Linked DNA regions of Drosophila melanogaster. The protein of the gene in region 1 purifies or fractionates together with the protein of each later gene. This does not show direct contact. Each region holds a gene or a part of one and is shown in the gene's direction. Other genes may lie near its edges.

Region 1 (7,193 bases):
ATATTCTCCGATAAAAGTGGAAGTACTTGGTTTGTGTTGCCCTCTCTGCTGGCGTTTGGCCTGGCAGTTGGAGATCTTGTGGTCCTGGCCTGCTGTCTGCGGGAAACGTTGCCCAAGGTGCGTACGGTTGGCTAAATTAAATATATTCCCAACACCATTAATTGTTTGACCTTTTCGCAGGAGAAACGTGTTAAGGAGATATCATCTGCACTGTCTTATGGCCTGCAGTTGCTCAATTTTTCGGCCATATTTAGGTAATTCAATGTTTTAATTAGCATGTCTCGAAAACCTGTCGTGTGATCAAATCGAAATCGTCATACGGTGAGAACTGCAAGCCACCCGGACTTGCCTGACTGGTTTGATAGACACTATTATCATGCCGGGTTCTCGGACACGTTTGTTTGATTGCCTTATCAGTTAGTAAATTCTAGATTGCTTTTGATTAATTGTAGTTACAGGGAATTGAGTCCAGTTAGCTAGAAGATTATTACCAATGATTATGTCTGGATTTTACAATCATATTTCAAAAGAATTCTCCCACTGACAGATTTGCTGCCATCAAAAATGTGCCTAAGAAAGACATTGCGGCACTGCGATCCATTGGCCTGGTATACTTCTTGTATCTCTTTCTGTATTCCGGCTTGGAGTTCACCGTCACATTTCTGATGTACCACAAATTCGGTTACACTTCGATGGATCAGGCGAAGATGTTTTTGACAACGGGTATGGAGCAAGTTGATAATCTACAATATTCCCTATCAAATTTGTGTCTTTTTCTAGGTGTAATCATGACTTTGCTGCAGGGATCGGTGGTCCGACGGCTGCCCGAGGCGAAGATCAAAGGCTATGCCATCTTCAGTTTGTACCTGATTGTACCCGCCTTCGTAGTAGTCGGCCTAGCCGAGGGCAGTCGGATGCTGTACGCCGGCATGACCCTGTTCGCAATCTCCACAGCCTTCGCTGTCACCTGTCTGACCACCCTCGTATCCAAATACGGAAACGATGACCAGAAGGGTTCAGTACTGGGCATATTCCGCTCACTGGGAGCTTTGGCTCGAGCTCTGGGCCCCGTGGTGGGATGCATTGGTGAGCTCCTCAGCTGTCTTAGGATTATACCTTTTCTAAACTCTTTAATCCTTAATAGCCTTCTGGTGCGTTGGCTCCAGGATCACCTATATAGCCGGCGGACTTCTGCTCATTTATCCAGCCATGGCCTTGCAACGCGCTCGCATTTAAGTGCAATAGGAATAGAGTTTTTAAACTCACTAGAGATCAACGGAAGTATTAGCTGCACATTATACTTAATTTATCGTTTTTTACAAGTATTTTATATTAAAATAAACACATTTTTACTCTGATTTGTAAGCAGGGGGTTTTTACTTGGGATCGAAATGTTTTCTATTTAATTAATTTTTTTAATAAGATAATATTAGAAACAGTTACTGCTACTGGGAGAACGATTCTGTTTAGGTTGGAACGTTTTAAGTATTCAAGACATTTTGAGTTGGAAATAAGTTAAATGGGCTAGGGATAATCCCTAGAAAATGTGTTCAGCTTTTTTAAAATACGATAGGCTTGTCGGGATGAAACGAGAGCAGTTCATGATAATTCGTCGTACCGTCTGGTAACTCTAAAACATCCATCTCGTTAATTTAGTGATGCAAGTCGATGTGAAAACATCGATAATGATATAAGTATGTTGGTGTTTTAAAATAAAACAAATAAGTTTTTTAAATAGGAAACAAACATTAGATTTATTTTCTAGACCTAATGTGTTTTAATTATGAAAAAATTTAATTCTAATTCTAAAGCTTTTGAGTATAAAACAATGTTCATATAAACAAAAATAGAAGTGACATTGTACTATCGCCTTACATCGCCATTAAGAAAATCGATAAGTATCGCCGAAATAATGTCGATGTACCGATATTTTTCAACATCTCTAGTCTCGTTGGAAATATAACGTGACGTTATTGGGAGTGACTAAGTTTTCGTGTAAGAGAAAATTGCAAATAAATGCGCTGCAAGCAGCTGCAAATCTCCAATTAATACTGCTCCAATTGCCGGAAAAGTCCTGCCAGCATTTTCGAACGCATCCGAGCTGGAAGAGCAACCGATTTCGCCACTTAAATACTGATATATACACTTTTCTCTTTCTTTACAACTACAACTGCAAATAAAAGTGTAAAGTGTGTGAGCCGACGACAAACGCATTAAAGAAATCGGCGGCGCGCAGGGATTATTGGATTTCGTTTAGCACCCGCACACACAAAACAAAAAGGACGGAACTGGATTTCCAAAGGATATCGAACCGAGCGAGCGATAGCAAAACAAATTGAGCAAAATGGGTGCAAGAGAAGACGAGTACGATTATCTGTTCAAAGGTAATTATAAACATGATACTAGCCGCTGGTCGAAGATCGCGGAAGGTTGATCAGGAGGGGAGGAGCCGCACTTCCAGGCTCTCCTCTCCCTGCCGTGAGAGACAGTGGTTCAATAGCACTAATTGAAACTAATTGGAGAATAACAAAAAGTGCACTCGAAGAGCCCAAAGTTCATGTGATGGTATGTGGTGTGTTTGTTTGCGTGAGTGTCATTAATTCCCAAAATAAGAAGTACGCCCCCCGAGTTTGTTGTTGTTGCTACTGCTGCAGTTGGATGCCCTTTGGTGGCTCTCCCGCTCTCACTCTGCCTATCTCCATCTCTTTGGGGTACTCTTTCGGACTGGAGTACGCGTACTTTGCCGTTAACTGCTTGTTTTGTCATTACAGTGCCGTTGGTCTCGCCACGTTGCATACAAAAGCCAAGCAGATCGTATTTATAATCGCTCGCTCTGTAAAGTAGGTTTAAGGCTTGCCCACCCACTCGAAATGCTAAAGTGATTAGATATCCAGTAAATAGAGCGAGAGTGTGGGTATTATGATTTCTGTACAGCTGGCTTTTGCAATGGTTTCTTGTAACTTCGTTTAGTAGCTCTCTCTCACGCGCGCTCTCTTTTTCACCCGCTCTCGATTGAAAGTTTGAAGCACAGTAGAGCAAAATGATGTATTTGCAGGTAGAAAACAAGACTTTTATCCCGCATCTTCCCCCGTTTATGTGTAGATATGTATGAACAGAGGTCACAAATTCTCAGCTCTTCTTTGTTCCCTTCGTTTGCTACTACGCCATAAATTCCAATTGCGCTTGGAAATCTCTGCTAGCTATCACAGCTGAGCAACTGTTGAATGTCATTAAAAAAATATTTAAAACTTAATCTGCCGTATTTTTTGGGTCAAGTATACAAAAAGTTAAAAAAAAAGTCATCATAATAATGCGTCAGTGTGCGGTATGCATGATGAGGCCTCAAATTTCACACATGAAACAATATTAAACGGACATGACTCACAGCCAATAACTGCTGAAGAATTCCACTCACCGATAAGCGCATAATCACATAACTGAAAATGGGCCGTTTCGGGTTATTCGAGCCAATCCCACTACTAAGTAATGACCGTCGATTACCACTCCTCCCCTTTTAATTTCTCATCGCATCCGCTTAACTAAGTGCAATTTCTCTTTAAAGATCGTTATTAGCGCTGAGAAAGAGAGTAGAAAACAAAGTGACTCAGCTCTCTCGCTGATAACTGTAACCACGCTGCTCCCAGCTGTCCACACTGAAAGAAAACCCTATACCCTCTAATTTAGCTATCTAAATTAAGTCAAAAACTTGGACTTAGCTCAAAAGTCGTTTCAAATATTTAGTTCCTATCTTAATGGCATTGCAATCGAAACTTCGAACTCAAGAATCAGTGTTCATATGATACCATTTTACTATTTGAATTTTCTCCGTGCAGCGATGACCATAGCGATAGAGCGAAAAGGTGTTTGATGAGTTATAGTTGTTGTTTTCTGAATGGATTAGCAAACATGCTGAATCAACAATGTCCGAAAAGGGTGTCAAAAATGGAAACTAATAGACAGACAGTCAGTAAACACAGTGTCTAGATATCAGTTAATATATATTATAGCCAACAACTCTGGCCGCACATAAGAAAGTTTATCAAAAAGAAATGGAGTCGTAAAAAGGTCAGTGGATAGTTTTTATCGGGTAGCATATCAACTTGGGATGCTTGTTTGCTCCCTCAAATATCCGCCACTCAATTATCCAAGAAATGTTTGCTATCGGCAATGAAGCACAATAACACGAACTCCCTAACGTCGACTGGCCCAATCATAAAACATTTCTTTCCATGGCCTGAAATCCCCCGAGCATGGCGGTTTTATGTACTCGCTGACCTTGGTGCGCCGTGCCAGCGGCGAAAGGAGGACATGACCTAGCCGGGCCACCAGCGACCATTCTGTCCGGCCGTAAAACACAAGACAGGGGCCATGCCACGCCACGCCACACCACACACCCACATAAATTATGCAACTGGGGGTCTTCGATTATCCAATGCCAATGTCGATGTCACTAATTCCCTCTAATCCTTTGCAGTTGTCCTTATCGGTGACTCCGGTGTTGGCAAAAGTAATTTGCTCTCACGTTTCACGCGCAATGAATTCAACTTGGAGTCCAAGTCGACGATTGGCGTTGAGTTTGCAACGCGCAGCATAGAGGTGAGTACGCTGGCCAAGAATTCGAGGGTGGAGTGGCCCATGGAGCTCCACCCCCACACATCTACCGCACCGCACCCACAGTGGGGGAAGTCACGGGTGAACTTGCGTGTGCGTTTCGGTGGGAGGACACGTAGTTGAGGCGTCTATCGGAAAATTGGGGGGAAAAGTTTGTTCAATTTGAGTAAGTGTCGAGAATTTCACTAAATAATGGATTGCCAATTGGCTTTCTTGCATAATTTCAAAAGCCATCCTACGGGATTAGCCAAAATGTTGACATCATAGTTGTCACTTGTGCTGAAATAATAAATTTATGTGGTCAATAACAATTATATATTACGTATGTATAAGGATTTGTGTTAAACAATACTTTGTGCCATCTTTTCGAAGTAGCTTAGTAGGTCATCTTAATATTTAGTATATCAAATGGGTTCAATGAATATAACTTACGCTACTTGCGTTTTTTCTAACTAGTGTAAGAAATTTCAAAAATTGGGTTCTCTTACTAGAGTTAAAAGCTTATCCATAAGCTCTAATTTATGTTGGTTATGTGTGAATACTGAATGCCAGTGCTTGTATATTAATTTTCAAAGCGAATGCGCCGCAGGCATTTCGTGGCGAAATTGCCAATTACTGGCACCATTCTAATGCTGTCCTTTGTTTCATCCTTCTTGTGCATCCAACGCAGGTCGATGGCAAAACAATTAAAGCGCAAATCTGGGATACGGCCGGCCAGGAGCGTTATCGCGCCATCACCTCTGCCTACTACCGCGGTGCCGTGGGGGCCCTGCTCGTCTATGACATTGCCAAGCATCTGACCTACGAGAACGTGGAGCGGTGGCTGCGGGAATTGCGCGACCATGCCGACCAGAACATCGTCATCATGCTGGTGGGCAACAAGTCCGACTTGCGGCACTTGCGCTCCGTGCCCACGGACGAGGCGAAGCTGTTTGCCGAGCGCAACGGCTTGAGTTTCATAGAAACCTCGGCCCTCGACTCAACGAACGTTGAAACGGCATTCCAGAACATACTCACAGGTGGGTCGTTCAGGATATTTTAGCTAGTCTGCTTTCAAATTATCGATCGTTTAAGAATATTTAAATACTGTAGATTAAACGCTTCATTGAAAGTCAATAGATTAATGATAACGAAGCACGACTAATGATGTCTCGTAATCCCGTTTCAGAGATCTATCGCATTGTGTCGCAGAAACAGATCAGAGATCCGCCGGAAGGCGACGTCATCCGCCCGTCGAACGTGGAGCCCATCGACGTAAAGCCGACTGTCACCGCCGATGTGCGCAAACAGTGCTGTCAGTGACCGCCCCAAGCAATTTTCGCTATTCCCCGCAACCGCCAGAACAGCAACATAAACAGAAGCAACAGCAATTACAACTACGACTACAAGAGGAGCAGCAGCGGCCAGAACTGCAACACCAAGATCAGGAGCAGCGTACACCCGATGGACCGCACAAGATGTCTATGCGTTTGTCAGCCACAGTTTGTCATGTGCGCATAAATTGATAATTCAAATCTGAGCCGCCACTCTCCACCACCAACACCACCACCATCATCAGAAGCAGCAGCAGCAGCAAAAGAATCGAAAGCAACAACATCCGGCTGTAGTTAACTGCGGTTTAAACTGAAGTTTTATATATATACAGATCCATGAGTATCGCATAAATCGACCGCCGCGGAAAGAAAGCAAGCAAAACTAAACACTCCAAATTCAGTTTAAGCTGTAGAACTATAATTTATATAAATATACATATATGCTAATATTAAAATATTAATATTATTAATTTTTCGCAACATAAATATATAGTTGTAATTTCGCGAGCAGAACAACAACAAACAACCGGAAATTCTTCGACTTAAACGCAAATTCATTACCACAGCACTGCAGCTCGGATTTTCTTCTTCGGTTTCTCGCAACATTTTAAACGATTGGCCACTTGGTAAAACTAGCTGATAAAGAGAAATCAAACAAAAACAGTTGTAAAACTTTAAATGCATAAATGAAACGAAATAACATCATTTGTGTTTGCTATGTTAAGTGTGATTAAATAAATATAATTTAAATAAAACAGAAGTGCTTTCAATTGGGCGGAAAATCGAAATTTAAAATGGGATTAGAGTGACCAAAGGCAGACGTCGGAGTGGGTGTTTGGTATTTTCCGCGCGAGCAGCCACACTGATCCATACACGTGCGGGAGAAAAGTGAACAAAAACATTGAAACATGGGCGGTAAGAAGAAAGTGCATCCGAAGACGCGCACGGCGGCCTTCAAGGCCAGCGAGCCGAGCGAGATCGTGGAGGCGCCGCACTCCTTCGTCATCCATCGCGGCCTCGCCTGTCCGTACATCACGGACCTCACCCTGGACTTCCGCCGCATTATGGAGCCCTTTACGGCCAGCAATCTGCGCGAGAAGCGGATGAACCGCATCAAGGACTTTGTCAGCCTGAGCAGCTTCTTCCACGTCTCGCACATGGGCATCTTCAACAAGGCCTCCACGCAGCTGTCCTTCAAAGTGGTCCGCTTGCCGCGCGGTCCTTCCCTGACTTTCAAGGTTTGTTTGTTTCATCGCTTAGTTTATACTG
Region 2 (5,296 bases), on another chromosome or scaffold:
GAGCAGATCTCCGCCAGCGTTTCCAAGTGATTAATATGTATAATAAAGGGTCGCATGGTGTCATAGAGAATGGTGCACAGACCCTCCAGATAAACCCTGTGGGAAAAATGAGATCAATCCTATTTTCCAACTAGATGTACGAGTATTACGTCAGGTGTGGCGCTCCTGTGCTGAAGAACTGGTAGAACAAACGCTGTTCGTCCTGGCAAACATGCACCAAAAAGGCGCAGGCGCTTCGGGTGAGAGAGCAGTGATCCCCTTTGTGGGCCACCTTAACGTTTTGTATGGACAGATTCACTGCTGGCGACATAACGCTGGCTCTTTGCGCCAAGTAGTGCTGTTGAAGATCCGCCATTAGTTGGGCGTAGTCGAGGCTGTGTTCCGACCGGGACTCAATCAACTGGGCGACCCGCTTCACTTTTGCCGCGGCCGTTTGATATTTGCCGTAGTACAGAGCGAATGCGGCATCTGGTGCCTTGAGAGCAGCGGAGGCATCCGGCATATTGTTCTTGGGATGGAGCGTGGCCTCGGTTGCCTGGTTTATCACACTCGTCACATAGTTACGCACCAGACCCGAGGCTTTGGCCAGGCACTGCCTGTACTTCACATTGTAGGCGGCCGCATCCTTGAATTTGGGCTGTGACAATGAAGGATATTAGTATATACATGACCGAAGTGTAACAGACAAGCTCACATTCTCCTCGATGTAGTTTAGGCATTCGTCGATCTTGTTGAGGCACTCCCGGAACGCTTCGCTAGCCACCGAAAGCGTGGGGCTCTGAAGTCGTTGGTTGAGCAACTCCACCTGGCTGAAGTAGTGCAGACGGCGTTGAATCTCGTGACTCAGCTCCTGCAGTCGCTCCTGCTCCTCGATCAACTGCTCGCTGGCCGTGTTCAGAGCGCTGGTCTTTTGCGACACAAAGTCGTACTCGTCGCAGAGGGCACCCAGGCGCTCCATGGCCCCAGCGATCTGGTCCAGCATGTGGGAGCACTCCGCTTTGCGCTGCTCCAGCTGCTGCAGGTATTTGTGGTAGTCGGCATCGCCACGTTGCTCGATCTCGGCGCTGACGTCCGCGAACCAAAGCAGAAACTCATTGGTGTTCTGGAGTCCCTCCGCAGGTAGTCTGATGTCATCGCCGCTTTGCGAAGTTGCAGCTGCCGATGAATCGGTAGGACCCACCTGGGTGGGCGTAGTCGGTGCCGGTGCCTACAAAGAGTCGGGTTGCAATTATACGATTGCCATTCGAGGAGGAGTCGACTCACCGATGGTCCGCTGTCGCGCCACAGATTGGTCAGGACGTCCAGGTGCTCCTCTTGCTGGATACTCAGAGCCGCCAGCGGGTCCGTTTTGGACTCCCATTGCATCAGGCGATTGCGAATCTTGCGCAAATTCTCATTCTCGCTCTGAATTCGTTCGACGTCATCCATTTTTCTGCGGCGGATTTGGAAACAATCAATCAGCTGTTCAGAGATGACCGGTCTGCGCCTTCCAGTGCTGCTCAGCAAGGAGACTTAGCTAGAACTAAAACTCTTGATTGATATAAGTTGCCTTTATTTGAATGGTATCATATGTTAAGTAATCTTTAATTTTAGATTTAATACATTTTAAGCTCTTTTTATGCTCGTCCGTTTCTTACATAAGTTTTATATTAAATATCTGTCTGTTTAGCTTGGCGATTACTTAGCCAAGATTTCACCACTGACGGGACGTTTTCCATCACTGGCAGCATCAATAAAGTTCTGTTCTCTATTGTTTTTATTGCATTTTGATCAGTTTTTCCGCATCATATAGCATACGATGGCGCCGCAGCCAGTGGTTACGGGGCTATCTCCGAAGGAGGGTCCTCCTGGCACCCGCGTTATCATTCGCGGCGAGTTCCTGGGCACCCGAGTGCAAGATCTAATTGGTAGGCGTAGCCTGTCCCAAATAGCTTCTGTTTTCTGATGACTTTCCCTTCCAAAAAAAAAAAATGTAAGGTCTAAAAATCTGCGGTTCAGATTGTCTGCTGTCGGCGGAGTGGAAATCACCCAATAAAATCATCGCACGCACTGGTCCGGCGAAGGGAAAAGGCGATATCATAGTGACCACTTTAAGCGGCGGAGTGGGCACGTCCACGGTTCAGTTTCGTGCATACCACGAGACCATTGGCCCGCTCAAGGAGTCCGCCGTGTGGATCGAGGAGTCGCCCTCGCAGAATTTTGCCTGGGGTCGGCGCACCCTAGCCCAATCCGGACTGACGCAGGAGGATCCACTTGGGCTGTCCATCGAGGGTAACGAGCAGAAGATCCCCGAGGACCTCCGCGATCTCTTTCCCGAAGCCTGCGGGGATCTGTCGCAGGAGCACTTCTCCCCGGCCTGGTTCCTGCTTGAAAATCACCTGGCCACCTCCTTCGAGGATCTCAAGGCGGGCCTGTCCTACTTGAAGCGGAAAGTGGAGAGCCAGAAGGAAGGTCAGTTGTCCTTCCTCAAGTCCAATGCAGGCTCGGTGATTGACCAGCTCGATACGCTGATGAACATCCGAGACAAGCTGCAGGAGGATGTCAAGCTACACGGCAATGAGACCCTAAATATCTTGGAAACATCCATAGAGAGTGAGTGGGGTTTATAGATTAAGATATTTAATTCTAAAATTGTTCGACTTATAGACTCCATTAGCGAATCGCAAAAGATATTCACGGATGTGCTGGTGCGCAAAGAGAAGGCGGATTCCACGCGGTCCGTTCTGTTCGCCCTGTCGCGGCACAAGTTCCTCTTCTGTCTGCCCAATTCGGTGGACAGACGTGCCAAGGCGGGTGAATATGACATTGTGGTTAACGACTACTCGCGCGCCAAGAACCTCTTTGGCAAGACGGAGATTCCCATTTTCCGCAAGGTGCTCGAGGAGGTCGACCACAGGATTCTGTCAATAAGGAAACAACTGCACGAGAAGGTGGTCAAGATGCCACAGAGCGTGGAGCAACAGAAGAAGCTCATCAAGGCGCTGATCAGTCTGGAACTGCAGCAGAGCGGAACTCCCATTGGCGATAAACTGCGCAACATCGATCCCGCCTGGGATGCCATCGAGGCCAGAGCCAAATATCTGGAGTGGACATTTCGCCAGACATTTGATCAGCACACCAGCAAGGATTCGGGTGCCCAGGAAAAGGCAAAGAACAGGGATTCCAGCCAGGCGCCCAATCGGGTTAACTTCTGCGAAGAACTGTGCGACATTGCCGCCTCCCAGCTGCCGGACTTGTGGCGTCTGGGCCAGCTATACTTCACCGGCGAGCTACGCGGACCTCATGATCCCAAGCCAGGGGATTTCAAGCGAATGGTTTTGAACGCCATCGAGAAGTTCTGTGTCTACTTGAGGTTGGCCATTCTCATTGCCACGGATCAGCGCGCCCTGCGTCAGTCCAGCGGCTTGGCTTGGCCCATCGGCTCCGCATCGGCAACACATCAGTTTCTACCCTGGATTCCGCAGTGCCTGCGTTTCACGAGGATAGCCTATGCCACGCTCATCAGCCTGGATCTGCCCTCGGAAGCGCTGGACATCATACAGAAACTGATCGATGAGGTGCGACTTTTCTGCTTCTCAATTATCTTCAAACGGGCCACGGATCGGTGCAAAAAGCTGGGCAGCCAGGAGACCTGGGAACTGGGCGTGGAGGAATATCCAGGTGCCACATTGTTACCCGCCGCCTTGGAAACATTGCTCATCGAAACGCTGGACGAGGTGCAATCTGTGTGCATGCAAAGGGAGACCCGGGAGGGCAATCTCCTCGAGCCGCAGTCGGATGGACAGAGAGAGGTGACACAGCGACTACAAGAATTCCTATCCGCGTTTAGCGCGGTGATCGAGGAGCTGGCCTTCCACTCCCACGACGAGGAGACGCCCACCCACAATGTGTCGCAGCTACTTGGATTCCCCAATGCCCAGCAGCCAGATTCGGTGGCTGGAAGCGGCGGAGCAGCGGCTGTGACCTGGGAGCAGCGCATGCTCTGTTGCCTGGCCAACTATGCGTACTGCAACAAGATCTTCTTCCCGCGCCTTGGTGACATCTTCGTTCGCTACGGTTACCCGCTGCCCACGCTGGCAATCGAAACTGCTCGCTACACGGTTAACCAGCTCTTTACCAATCTTCTGGAGGAGTACGTCGAGCATAAGGGCGATCCGCTGGTCGGCACCATCGAGCCCTCCATGTATCTGGGTCGTTTCCAGTGGGATCACGAGATGGAGATCGGCCAGCTGCGTCCTTACGCTCACGAGTGCTGCGATAATTTGGTTGGTGTCTACTCCGAGATCTACAGCATTTCACCGGCACTGCTGCGACCCATCCTGGAGTCCATTGTGCAAACCATATCCGAAGAGCTGGCCCGTCTGATGAGCTGTGTCCAGCGCTTTAGCTTCACGGGAGCGATTCAGGCCCACGTGGATATCCGTCTATTGAGGGACTCCCTGGAAGGTTACGTCAATGAGACTGCCAAGTGAGTGATCTAAATGAAATACCTATGAATTTCAATAATTCTTCTAATCTGCAAAAGGAACTACTTCATGGAAGCGCTGGAGGCCATCAATCCGCCCCTGAGTGGCGAGCAGAAGCGTAAGGCGGACGAGATTCTGGAGCGGGTCAAGCGGAACATGCGTCTGCAGCTGCTCTGCTTCAGTGTCAAGGACCCCTAGGCACATTCCACTGCAGGGCGCAGCCCATGTAGATAGCGTATACTTTAAGTAGCTTGTGATTACCCATGTTCTAGGGATAAATCTTTATTCGATTGCATAACTCTCTTACTTACTACCACGACTCACAAGCCCAACAGCTTTGGGTCAAAGTTGAAGTTGTTCTGAGCCATGGTCTTGATGACCTGCTCCACATCGATGGTGTTGAACTTCTCCTGCACACGCTGCTTGATGGGGTTCTCGATGGCGTCCATGATCTGGTAGCGCAGCAGGTTGGGAATGACGTTCACCGCAAACTCCATGACGTAGTCCAGCGTTCCCGCTCCGTCACATCGCACCTGTATGTTGCCCATGTCAAACTGCAGATCGGTGATCTGCGCCCGCTTGCGTGTGTCCAGGGATTGGCTCAGGCCAACGGTGGCGCGTATGTGCTGAACCGTAAATTGTACGTGACCGACGCGTGTCATCATGCCCACACCCACCTCCCACTGGCCGGCTCCCGTCACCTGCTGGGTGCCTATTTGCAGAACGACCGACACCGTTTTGTTGGCCATGCCAGCGGTTATGTTGCCCACGCGGTAGAAGCTAGAGATTCCATTGATCCAGGTGTGTGCTAACTGGACACTGAACACGCC
Region 3 (4,905 bases), on another chromosome or scaffold:
CGCGTGGATGGATATATAAAGTTTGTACACAACTGCAAATGAAAGGTAAATATAGCCGGCTTTAAAAGTATCTGTGAGTTTTGCGTTGATTAAGGCGGCGGTTAAACAAATTAGAAGAGTAAATAAGGTCTGTAAGATTAGACACGGATAAAGGTATTTTAAGGACAATATTACCTTAAAATATCCAAATATACCGATCATTTGCAATGTATTAAAAATTGTGGAAGCCAAAGCAGGCATTTTTTTTTGCTACTGGATTTTATAAAGAAGGCTGTGAAATGAATTTCAACGAGCCCTTACTTCAGATCCCTGACTAGCCCAGAATATTCGTCAGTTCAGTTCCAGCTGTTCTACTGTACGGTTCTCTTGAAAGTCGTTACTTTTTTTTATCATAAAGCTGACACCACCAAGTTATCCGGTAAATATATTTCTTGTTTTTGAACAAGGCATCGTTCGATTTTAAACCTAATAGATCTGGCTTTTCTCCGAAAATTTTCGGCATCTGCGAAGATGTCGTTGCCACGCGTTTACTTCGATATAGCCGCAGGAGGTGAGAAGTTAGGTAGAATTGTGATGGAACTACGTTCGGATGTGGTGCCCAAGACGGCGGAGAATTTCCGGGCCCTCTGCACCGGAGAGAAGGGGTACGGCTACAAGGGATCACCATTCCACCGCGTCATCCCGAATTTCATGTGTCAGGGCGGTGATTTCACTAATCAAAACGGAACTGGAGGACGCTCCATTTATGGAAACAAGTTTCCCGATGAGAATTTCGAGCTAAAGCATACCGGAGCTGGTGTACTTTCGATGGCCAATGCTGGGGCCAATACCAATGGATCTCAGTTTTTCATTTGCACCGGGAAAACCACATGGCTGGATAATAAGCATGTCGTGTTCGGCAAGGTCGTTGAGGGAATGGATATCGTCCAGAAGGTAGAATCTTACGGTTCACAAGATGGGAAGACCAGCAAGAAAGTAATTATCGAAGACTGCGGAGCCCTCTGAAGGGTGTCAATACATAATAGTGCTGTCAATCACACATTTACACTATTACACTGAAATTATACTTTTCAAGAAAACTTTGCAAAATAAAAGGGGGTGCAAAAAAATGTATTTTGTCGGTTCAACTATTTACATCGCTCTCATATGTTACGCATTTCAGACCAATTCGTTGAATAATCCGGTGCACCCTGAACAGCCCAGTTCCCTGACTCATTTTCCTTTGATTTTTCTTTCCATTACTTTTAATTGACTCAATTTAGTTCAAGAGTTGCTCACATATGTCGCTTTTGATTCTTTCCACTCGATTCTCATTCTGTCTCCCATCACCTTTCCCTCAAGCCATTCTATCCACTTTACCCGAATGCACTTTGCAAATGTCTATTAAGTCACATACACTGATGAAAAAAAAGAATTAACCACCAGTAATACATATGTATATGTTTGGTAAAGTGCACTTTACTAAATACATTCAAAAACTCAAATTGAATCCATTATTTTTTAAATATATTCTGCAATATAAGTTTTGTTTAAACAAATATTATATTTGGAAGTTAGTATTTCTTTTCAAACCTAAAAACACCTGGCTAACTATGTTATACAATGTGTATATGTGTATGTGCATATAAGCCACTCAGCAAACAAAATTTTCTTTTCTCAAGTGCATGTAATACGAATTTCCAACACTGCTAAGTCACATTAGTGGAATTTTTCTATTGCGTTCGTTTTGCTTTGGGGCTCTGTTTTTTTGTATTTCTTTTCGTTATTTTTTCGGGCACCCAAAACAAGTCGCGGCTTCTGCCGACGTCGACCGAGGCAGCGGCAGAGGAGGGGCCGCGACTTGGCGCTGGCTTTTCAGCGCTTTCCTCTCTCAGATTGCATTTAACGCTTGCCGCGTTCACAACACTAGAAAAGCGGAGCAGCGCATCGAACGGTCGCCCTGTCTCTCACTCTCTCGCGCTCTCTCGCGCGGGTGTTTTGTTGTTGGGCAATGCAATTGCCAAGGAAAAGGAAAATGCAGCTGCTGCTGCTGCTCTCCTAAGCAAAATAGCCAAATTAAAAAAGGTTCGAAATTCGAGAAAATTAACCCAAAGTTACCTCAATTCGTGTGTTTTTTGTGTGTTACCTATTATCGATCGAATTCGCTTATCAGCTGTGTCAGGTGCCTTTGGCTCATTAACCGCTTATTTAAGGAAAAATGTGAAATCAAAACAAATTCGTTAATGACAGGGTCTGTTGTGAAAACCCGTAATCAAAGTAGCCTTGTTCGGCTCATGTTTCTAATTTTCATACCCTCTGGCAAATATATTGGTTGATTGATCTTAAATTGAAAAGTGCGGTTGAATCAGTTTGCCAAGTGTTTTATCGAAACATAAAAAATGGAAATCAAGTGTGGCATAAAATTGATAAATGATACAATAAATGGGACAAAATGAAAGAAAAAATAAAATAGCTTTAAACAATTCAAAGCAATTCTTCGTTATGGGGCGTTAAAAGTTGAAAAAACACTGACGGTAATTGATGAAGTAAAACGAAGAAAGATAAGGTGATCAAATTTGCAAAACCGGCACAATGTAAATTAATTGTGCTTTTTGTGTTGATTTTTTTTATTATTAATGGAGACAAGTTTAAGTATTTTCTTAAAAAGTTTAGTAAACTTAGGAAGATGAAAAAAAAAAAATAATATTGCCTCTTTAAAAATCAAGTCTTGTTTTCATTGCTTTCGGCAGTTTCTACATTCAAAGGGAATTAAATAAATCAAGGGCTTCCACCGAGAATAACGCATAGCAGTTCCAAGTTCATTCATTATACATAACTCGTACTTCTTAATTTCTTTTACTAGGCATTTTCCGTACCGTTAAGTTTGGTAGGAAAATATTCTTTCATTAGCGATGGTTCGTCAATTAGTAGGCATATAAATCTAACGGCACAGTGCCCTAACAGCACAGAAGACAACTAACCGGAACTGAAAACTAGCACTAAAAACCAATAAGTAAAAGGCCTAAGGTAGCCGCAATAACAAAAGAACGGAAAAGACCCTCTGATGACATCAACAAAAAGGGGGTGTACGAAAGAGATGGGACGAAATGGATGGAGATTACCATCCAATCCCGCATGCGTCCCGTTACTCTTGCTTTTCGGTTCGTGTCCACGCTTATTCACTTGCGCTTTTATTTAGTAATGAGTAAAACATATACATACATACGTATGTATGCATATATGAACATATGATGGGAGGCATTTTGGGAGCGGTTGGCTTGGGGTGACCGTATATAAATTCCACATAATTATGCGCTGTCCCTGACTCAAAAACCATATGTTCAAAATAAAGGAGGCGGGCGGATTCGGCGAGAGAATCACCCTCGGACATATGGCGAAAAACTTTTCCTTTGGGGGATCGGATCGCTCTCTTTCTTCGGTCCCTTGTCATTGCTCTTGTTTGTTGATTATTATTTTTTCCTATTTATAAAGATTGCGCCTCCCCAAATTCGCTCTCCCAGTCTCTCATTTTTCTCTCTATCGCTGGCGACTGCCTCGGTTTATTTTGCCCCTGAATTTCTGGTTCATTCAGTTTGCTTTTCGCGTTTCGCGTGCTTTAATCGAAATTTGTTTTTCTCCCTCGATTGTGGTTGTAATAAAATACATAATACACCATTTTAAATAATCGAAAAAATTAGCTATTCACTTTTAAAATTGAAAAATATTTGTGAGATCGCGGCACAGATTATTGAAGATCATAAAATCGGCAGGAAAATTAAAAATATTTTAAAGGATTGCATCATTAGTTTTTGGTTCTTTTAAGCAAAAGCTTTCAAGAAAGTTATAGAATACATAATAGTACATTAAAAATAATCAATGACAATTTTTTTTCAAGTTCTTATGTATATGATTCCCATATAATTGATGCAAAGTCTTTAAATATACATTTGTTTGAAATCATGAATATTTTATGTGGTACTCAGCATTCCTGATCCAATTTCGGCTAATCATTGTATATTTTACAACCTTTTTGTTGTAACTTGTTCACTTCACTTTGTTGCATGAAAAGTGCACAGCAGCGAAGTAAAATTTGCATTTAATGAGCTCCCCTCGTTCGACTCATCCCCATTTTCACCCCTTCCTTCGTCGACCATTGTATGCAAATCTTTGTGGAATTCAATTTTGCTGAAGAGTAGCTAATGATAATTTTCTATTATGCTGTTTTTGATTGCCTGACATGGGCGAGGAAAAAATGGTTGAAGAGATATGATAATCCAAAAATATTCAGCTGACAAGAAAGGAAAGTTTACTTCATTAGCAAATTAGTTTTAGTTGAATTGAAATCAGATTATTCGGTTACTTACTGTACTTGTATTGAAGGAATTGGATTGTATTTTGATAAGGGTTTCCAAATCATTTGTAATAAAGTTGTATTTTATTTATTTGAATGCTTATTTCGTAAATCAACTTGGAATCATTCAAAGCAAATAAAGTTCTTTAAAAAGTAAAATCTTTATCAGTCATGCCCTGCTTTTAATTGGCCCTCATATTGACCTTTATTTAAATTTGTATGTGATAACGTGAAAATGAAGCTTTGACAAGGGCACCTTAACTATACACGTCGCCGAACGATTTGATAAGACTAAGAATGATTCAGTTTACTAGACTACAAAAGTAAACAGCACGCCACAAATTCCAAGTAAAAGAAAAGCAAACTTAGCCAGCCATTGCATTTTCTGGTAATTAGAAACTAGGCGGGAATTCAAAACCTGAGGAACAAAATAACAATGAAAATAGGGAGAGGTTGGAAAATAGCTGTACGACGAGGATATGTAAAATTGTCTAGAATTCTGCTCAAAGTCTGAACAAAATAATTTTACGGTCTGTTGGTTCTAAAAAAAAAAGAAGAAGTAAAGAGAGGGTTGG

The links.
Region 2: the proteins of Rab11 (region 1) and Sec5 purify together in Drosophila melanogaster (affinity purification with western blotting, with the first as the bait; 3 studies listed by BioGRID). This does not show direct contact.
Region 3: the proteins of Rab11 (region 1) and nuf purify together in Drosophila melanogaster (affinity purification with western blotting; 5 studies listed by BioGRID, with this or other methods). This does not show direct contact.

What each region holds. Positions count from the first base shown.
Region 1 is NT_033777.3:21,109,472-21,116,664, forward strand, and holds Rab11 (Rab11), read left to right. Parts: upstream 1-1,936; 5' UTR 1,937-2,344; coding exon 2,345-2,384; intron 2,385-4,474; coding exon 4,475-4,596; intron 4,597-5,281; coding exon 5,282-5,630; intron 5,631-5,779; coding exon 5,780-5,913; 3' UTR 5,914-6,675; downstream 6,676-7,193. Other genes in the region: rtet (tetracycline resistance), read left to right, coding at 1-117, 181-254, 548-723, 781-1,086, 1,145-1,236; ppan (peter pan), read left to right, coding at 6,833-7,162.
Region 2 is NT_033779.5:3,455,608-3,460,903, forward strand, and holds Sec5 (secretory 5), read left to right. Parts: upstream 1-1,694; 5' UTR 1,695-1,798; coding exon 1,799-1,907; intron 1,908-1,977; coding exon 1,978-2,592; intron 2,593-2,646; coding exon 2,647-4,468; intron 4,469-4,525; coding exon 4,526-4,664; 3' UTR 4,665-4,760; downstream 4,761-5,296. Other genes in the region: Cog3 (component of oligomeric golgi complex 3), read right to left, coding at 1-96, 150-637, 695-1,207, 1,264-1,428; CG3246 (uncharacterized protein), read right to left, coding at 4,787-5,296. UniProt on the Drosophila melanogaster protein: Component of the exocyst complex involved in the docking of exocytic vesicles with fusion sites on the plasma membrane.
Region 3 is NT_037436.4:14,217,873-14,222,777, forward strand, and holds the start of nuf (nuclear fallout), read left to right. Parts: upstream 1-1,869; 5' UTR 1,870-2,064; intron 2,065-3,567; exon of another isoform or gene 3,568-3,628; intron 3,629-4,905. Other genes in the region: CG7768 (uncharacterized protein), read left to right, coding at 511-1,005.